2 linked regions of the Danio rerio genome follow. Each later gene encodes a partner of the first gene's protein in a complex. Links are inferred from orthologs where the notes say so. Each region holds a gene or a part of one and is shown on either strand. Other genes may lie near its edges.

Evidence for each region. Proteins that work in one complex are often made in the same cells at the same time.
Region 2: the proteins of egln1a (region 1) and epas1a are in contact, whole or in part, in a crystal structure (PDB 7Q5X), measured with the Homo sapiens proteins. The link is inferred for Danio rerio from reciprocal best matches to the Homo sapiens genes EGLN1 and EPAS1. Residues at the interface, in NP_071334.1 of Homo sapiens: Gln239, Leu240, Val241, Ser242, Lys244, Ile251, Arg252, Trp258, Asp277, Ile280, Arg281, Ile292, Asn293, Gly294, Arg295, Thr296, Lys297, Tyr310, Val311, Arg312, His313, Val314, Asp315, Pro317, Asn318, Asp320, Arg322, Arg370, Trp389, Tyr390; in NP_001421.2 of Homo sapiens: Asp525, Leu526, Glu527, Thr528, Leu529, Ala530, Pro531, Tyr532, Ile533, Pro534, Met535, Asp536, Gly537, Glu538, Asp539, Phe540, Gln541, Leu542.

What each region holds. Positions count from the first base shown.
Region 1 is NC_133188.1:53,018,862-53,022,361, forward strand, and holds part of egln1a (egl nine homolog 1), read left to right. Parts: intron 1-91; coding exon 92-211; intron 212-3,500. UniProt on the Homo sapiens protein: Cellular oxygen sensor that catalyzes, under normoxic conditions, the post-translational formation of 4-hydroxyproline in hypoxia-inducible factor (HIF) alpha proteins.
Region 2 is NC_133187.1:27,562,823-27,567,122, forward strand, and holds the start of epas1a (endothelial PAS domain-containing protein 1), read left to right. Parts: upstream 1-1,500; 5' UTR 1,501-1,709; coding exon 1,710-1,735; intron 1,736-4,300.

The DNA.
Region 1 (3,500 bases):
AGAATATTGTAATATATTTAAAATCGCATCATGACACAAGTGATAATATCAACCCTGCTGACCTGTGAGTGTTTTCTGTGTTTTCTGGCAGGCGATGGTGGCGTGTTATCCGGGTAAAGGCACGGGTTATGTGCGCCATGTGGACAACCCGAATGGCGATGGGAGATGCGTCACGTGCATTTATTATCTTAATAAGAATTGGGATGCCAAGGTATGCAAGAAATCACAGATGTTATTTAATCCTCAAAGCTTCGACCTGAAAAATTTTGTTATTAAAAGGGACTCTCAAAATACACATTTGTTTACGTTTTTTTTTCTTCTATTATTATCATTTAGTTTGCCTAATTATCCTAATTAGCCTAGTTAAGCCTTTAAATGTCACTGTAAGCTGAATACTAGTATCTTGAAGAATATTTAGTCAAATATTATGTGCTTCCATCATGAAAAGACAAAGGAAATTAGTTATTAAAACTAATGCTAAAAATTAATACGTTAACAGTGTTATAAATTCAGATGTCTTTATTTAATTTCATTCATTTATTTTCCTTCAGCTTAGTCCCTTATTTATCAGTGGAATGAACCACCAACTAATCCAGTGTATGTTTTACACAACATATGCCCTTCCAGCAGCAACCCTGAACTGGAAAACACCTATACACTTTCACATTCACACACACACACACACACTCGTACACTACGGACAATTTAGTTTATTTAATAAATAAACTAAGGAGGAAACCCACGCCAACACGGGGAGAACATGCAAACTCCACACAGAAATCCCAACTGGTCCAGCCAGGACTTGAACCAGCGACTTTCTTGCTGTGAGGCGACTGTGCTAACCACTGAGCCACTGCCCAATTTCATTCATTCCAATGAAGTAAAAAAAAAGGTTTCTGAAAAAGTCTAAAAACAGAGGTCAATTATTTTTACAGCAGAACTCTTCATGTTTTGATTTCATACAATAATATACTTACACAAATCAAGTTTCTTATGTTATGCTTTGATTATATATGGAATCAAATATGGAAAATATTGTATATGGCATCGACTAAAACTGGAGTTTTGTTTAGTAATGTAACACTCACCGGCCACTTTAATAGGTACACCTGTCCAGCTGCTCGTTAATACGAATTTCTAATCAGCCAATCACATGGCAGCAACTCAATGCATTTAGGCATGTAGACATGGTCAAGACAATCTGCTGCACCAACACCATGAAAGCATGAATCCATCCTGCCTTGTATCAGCGGTTCAGGCTGGTGTATTGTTGCTGACCATGTCCACCACAGTGTACCCATCTTCTGATGGCTACTTCCAGCAGAATAACGCACCATAAAGCGTGAATCATCTCAGACTGGTTTCTTGAACATGACAATAAGTTCACTGTACTCAAATGGCCTCCACAGTCACCAGAACTCAATCCAATAATAGAGCAACCTTTGGGATGTGGTGGAACAGGAGATTGGCATCATGGATGTGCAGCCGACAAATCTGCAGCAACTGCGTGATGCTATCATGTCAATATGGAGCAAAATCTCTGAGGAATATTTCCAGTACCTTGCTGAATCTATGCCACAAATGATTAAGGAAGTTTTAAAGGAATAAGGGGTCCGACTGGGTACTGGTAAGGTGTACCTAATAAAGTGGCCGGTGAGAGAATATTTGTATATATAGTATTTTAAATGTACAAAAAATAAATAAATAAATAATAATAATAAATACACACACACACACACACACACACACACACACACACACACACACACACACACACAAGAATAAACCAATATTGTGCATCAGTACAGTACCATTTATTTGCAATTCATTCATTTATTTTTTTTTCGGGCGCCACAGCGGAATGAACCGCTAACTTATCCAGCAAGTTTTTACGCAGCGGATGACCTTCCAGCCGCAACCCATCACTGGGAAACATAAATACACACTCATTCACTCTCATACACTATGGACAATTTAGCCTACCCAATTCACCTGTACCACATCTTTGGACTTGTGGAGGAAACCCACGCGAACGCAGGGAGAACTTGCAAACTCCACACAGAAATGCAAACTGACCCAGCCGAGGCTCGAACCAGCGGCCTTCTTGCTGTGAGGCGACAGCACTACATGCTGCTCCACCGCATCGCCTATTTACAATTAATTTTGAAAACCAAACAAACATCTTGATTGTTTTATAAAATACCAGTTTGATCACACTCTAGATTTTAAATGTTGAAAAAAAAAAAGTTGAAAAAGTCTCAATGTTTGCTCAATGTTCTGAAGTTCTGACTGAAAGATGTTGTTGGCATTTTTAAAGCATGCTGTTTTCTGAGACGGTCATGAATGGCTTCTGCATACGTGCCGGTCGTGCTTCATTTCAGTCTAATCCCATTAACCTCTGAGATTGTAATCTCCAGAGAAAACCAGCAGGAGAGTTACTGAAACAGCTTAGAGAGTCATAAAAATGGAGCACGAGACTCAGTCAGAGGCAGAGACCATCAGTCATGTGATTAATGCACTAATACTGTAAAACCATTCACAGATTCTTCATGTGTTTCTTTACTCTCTGATTGCATTATAGTTTTATTTCATGCCTAGTATCTACACTGTAAAAAATGCTGGGTTCGACACAATTCCTTCATGTTGTCCCAACACAAATTTATTAAGTTAAATTAGTAATTTTTTTACAAATTAAGTGGATTCAGAAACAAAGTTAGATTAGTATTGTTCGTAACTCATTTTAAATAAGTAGTTTGAACAAGCAGCAAAAGTAATTTGTGAATGTGTAAATAATGCTGGGTTGTAGTCGAATATGGACAAACCCAACATTGGGTTGATTTTTTATTATTGGGTAAATCTAACTTTAACACTTTATAGTTTTTTTTCTAAAAATCTACTCTCAAAAAATATTTATTTGCTTTTACAAACAACTTTTAAAATGTTTTTACAATTTAAAACGAGCTGTAACAACACAATTCTTGAGATTTCATTGGGACAACTTGAATGTTTTATGTTCAATCCGCATAAAGTGTTATGCTGTGTTCACACCAGACGCGGTAGGAGCGTCAAGCGTGAGTGATTTAACTGTTAAACGTGCAATTAGACATCCTGTGGCGCGGTACGCGCAAATGACGCAAATTGCGCGGCACGAATGTCGCGATATGCGCGAATGACGCAGCGCGAATTGAACGTTTTGCGCAAATCGCTCGAGTTCAAAAATCTGAACTTCAGCAGACATTCGTGCCGCTTTAACCAATCATGAGCTTGCTCTTGTGGGGGCGTGATTGTGACATATTGACTGTTGTTGGTGTCCCGAGGTAAATCCTTCAGCCGACACCGACAACAGTGCATCAAACTGGGCTCGGCTCAGTCAGGAGCACCGCTGAAAGCCTCATCCAGCCGTCATCCAAGTTCAGTTTCTGGAGGAGTTTATGAGCTCAGCTGGATGCACCTCTGAAAGAATCTATTGGACTCAGACACAGCCCTAAACATATCGACAC
Region 2 (4,300 bases), on another chromosome or scaffold:
ATTATAATGGGTATTTTCTGTGTATTAAAGGTATACCAACAGTAAAAAAGTGGAAATGGTCTGTTTTAATACTATACCTACAGTAAAAAAGAGGCCTTTTGTGTTTAAATAGTATATACAGTAAAAAAAAAAAAAACTGATTCTGTGTTTTAATGTAAACCTACAATAAAAATAGCCTATTTTACTATTTTACTCATTTAATACTATTCAAGCAGTATAAAAATGCCAAATGGTAAGGATACACATTTCATATATGGGAAAGTACACATTATTTATTCATTCATTTTCTTGTCGGCTTAGTCCCTTTATTAATCCAGGGTCGCCACAGCAGAATGAACCACCAACTTATCCAGCCGCAACCCATATCTGGGAAACATCCACACACCCACACACACTCATACACTACGGACAATTACCTGTACGTATGGGCTGTGGGGGAAACCGGAGCACCCGAAGAAAACCCACGCGAACGCAAACATGCAAACACAGAAACACCAACTGAGCAACCTTCTTGCTGTGAGGCGACAGCACTACCTACTGCGCCACTACGTCGCCATAACGTTATTTATGGTTTACCTAAACAAAACCTTTTTTCTATGTTGTATGTGTAGAGAAGCAGTAGTTTGTGCGTTAGTAAAAACAACAACAACTTCGCAATTAAAACAGATTCTTTAATTAATAAAAAATATTTTGCAATTCCCAGTTAAACCCTTACTAATATAAAATAAATTGTCAATCACATTGTAAAAAGTCTGGCAAATAATCTCATGGCAAATTGGCTTTAAAATTTAGCTTTAAGATAATTAAGGACAAGTGGGCAAATTACAAATACTCTTCATTTTAAAAAAGCATTTTAACTGCAAGATGGCAGGAAATGAGCGATAAAACTGCTTCTTCATCTAAATCAAAACATTGAAATGACATTCACTTACAACTGGGGTGATTCCCAGGAGAAAATGTTATAAAACGTTCTTCACGCTATGAAAAAAATATATTTGAAGTTTTTTTTCAATAAATGGTTTTGGTGATCAAAAGATTTCTACTGTGGCAATGGCATTACTTTGAAACCCCAATTTTTCCTGGCACTATTACTTTGAACAGTAAAGACTTAAGAGTCGATTTAGTCTAAATTAAATCTCTTCCAATTAAGTCCTGCTCCTGAAAAGGACAAAGTAGGCCTACTTTTATTCTGCAATATTATTTTTGTTTGATTAACCAGGTTTATAGATTGGCTACTTTTTTCACATTTTGCTCCTCCAGAGCACTCTGCGTGCTTTTTTGTTTTTTGAGATCCCTGAAGCATTTTCCCCTTCCAAACTCGCATAGACCTCGTGAGCGCGAATTTGTGACAGAAAAGTCTCGGGAATCTCGGGATCGCGCGCCGGCGGGAGGCAGCCGCTAGAAGCACCAATCAGTGCGCACAGTGCACAGTTCTGAAGGCACGCGCAGCGCAAGAGTGGCGCTCACGAGCTCGTCAGCCGCGTCCGGTCCGTCCGTGTCACTCTGGAGAGCTAGTGCGATCCTCGGCAGTGTTCTGAGACTGCACTGACTGCTCCGGTCACTGCTGGAAATGCCATGAGAATGGACATAACCGTGAAGAAATAACTAAATAAAGGCATCTGTGATACAAAAAGAGTTTAAACGATTTAGTTATCTTTCGGGAAAGTTTTGTGAAGTCATTTATACGCAGGACAAGGTTCTTCAGCATCATGACAGCCGAGAGAGAGAAAAAGAGGTAAGACGAGGAAACTTCATTACTGCGTGAAACATAACTTATGTATTTACAGCCTTGAGTTGTTTATCTTAATTTAAGACTCACAGGTGAGATTTGGCGTATTGCGCAATGGCACGGGCATTAGAGCGGAATAAACTGCTTTTTTCAACCCGAGGCGCAAACACTTGTACACGTTTAGCTTTTTTATAACTAACTTTTTGCTTTATAATTTCCAAAGCAAGTTTAGTTTCTAAAGACTTTGATATCGGAGAGTTGCACTCGGATCCTATTTATGGCTCCTTAGTAAATAGGCTCATGTAAAGGTCTTGAAAGTTATAAAAATGTCATCACCAGAGTTGTATGCTACTAAGAAATAATTTTCTGTATCTCTTTATGCATATAGTAAGTATAAAATATAATTGATTCGCTTTTTTGTGCTAATCTTGGATATGCTTATTCAATGTCAATGATATAGTGCAAAACAAAGATCAACAAATTGTCAAAAGAAAGTGAACAATACAAAAAGAATGCGTTTGATAATACACCAGCTGAATTTTATACATGGTTTAAGTATTATTTTTTTATCCATTCAGCATCATTACATATGTTATTTAATCTTGCTCATTTTGTTCATTTGTAATTGTAATCGTTCATTAGGGAACATTAAATCTCAGTTTTATTTGTAATAAAATTAGATCACAGCATTAAGGATATGTTATTTTTTTATTATTAGTGGAAGTAGTTTATAATGACAATTAAGTCACTGAAGGAATTGGTAGTCAACTTAACTATTACATCAATATCTAAGGAAAAACACTTATCCCTATGTTCCAAACACAATAAGATATGGCATATACAAATAAAATATTAAATTAAGTTTTACATTTATTTTTAGTTATTGCATTTAGTCTCTTTCATGCAAATCAGTGCATCTCAAACATGTAAACAACATTTATGTTTGCATGGCATGCTTCCATAGTACTCTTTAGTAGTATTTCTATTCTGCAAAATTGAACCCTTTCAAGTGCAGTCCCTCCACCAGCCACTAAAATGTCTTTATCCCCTAGGTCACAAACTCATTTAAGGATAATGCACATAAATCATAAATACTGGTTTGCTGTTTGGTGTAAATTGTGACTGGCGATCTGTATAGATGATAGTTTAGTCAGCCACACTGAAAAAGAAAAAAAGATGTCTGCAGAATTTAAACAAACTAATTCAATTTTGTAATTTTGAACTTAATGTGTTTAAATAAGTTTAAATAAATTGTTTACAACCGCTTAAAAATGTAGTAAATCCATGGAATCATCTTTGAATTTTTTTTTTAGTACAGATACTGGTCATTTAGGTGGTAAACATAGCCAGCTGCTCTTTAGTGCCTAAAGCATACTAAAAAAAGGGGTTAAATCTTCCCCTGTGTGCTGCTTGTTAACAGGAACGTAATGTTCCAATTGAAACTGGGGTTATCAGATCAGGGTTCACCTCTTTTTTTTAAATGCTCCATAATGTGTCCCTGCTCTGGTTACTTCCATCACCTTATACGATTCTTATCTGTTATCTGGTTTGTTTAACTTGCTCTTCAGGTGTTTCATTAGCAGTGTGATTGTCTTTTGTAAATGAATCCCAGTGGAGTAATGCAATCATTGTTAATGACATCTATCAATGCTTATTTCAATATGCAATATATGTGCAATGCAACAATACACTGACACCCTAAGATCAGTCATTTATTTCAACACTGAACGGCTCACTGGATTAATAGTTGGGAAACTAAAGGTCGGCCGTTTCTCCGAGGTTAGGGAAAATAGGATTATCTGTAGTGAATGGGTGCTGTGTACAGTCTGGCTTTTGGCTTTCTGTGAACTCTGGCCTAATCTGGTTGAGGGGGAGATGCAGAGAGAGATAGAGGGAGGAATGGGTTCACATCGGCCTGCTAATCACATGATCTGCTCCCCTTTGACAGCTTTTGGTTCAGTTGTGCGTGATGACGCCTGAGGCAGTAGGTGATAGGTGCAGCAGTTGCGCTATTGTGCTTTTCAAAGGTGCGCTTTAGGAATCGTGACAGCTCTGTTTTAGGCAAATCTGCCTTGAGATCTCACGCTGAAATACAGACCGGCCTCATGTTGAGTGCCTGACTGATGCTTTTACTGTAAAGAAGAGTGCTTGTTGAGAACATGTGGGAGAGGCTAAATAGCTGTCGGTCCTGTTATTTTGCCCATGGAAGATGAAAAGACTGGTTAAAAAAAAGTGAAAATAGCCAGCAGGCATCTGTCTTCGGGCTATACCTTGACCTGTTGCACATCTTATATTCAGAAGTTTAGCCTGGTAATGTGCAGAGCGTTTGGGGTTGAGGTCAGCAGCTGGACTGTGTGGGAACTGAACTCAGTAGCCTAGTAAAGGGCTGATGCAGATTCCCATCATTCGAGGCACTGAATCTAGTGTGTTTGTAAAAATTAAAAAATTAATTAAAAGTGTAGTGCTCTGTGCATTATGCAACCTTGATCTCTGATCCAACAACTTTTGTACTTTAAATGTTTAACAGTGACTTTTGCTGGTTTGAAATGTCAGATTTTGTAGACATTTTTA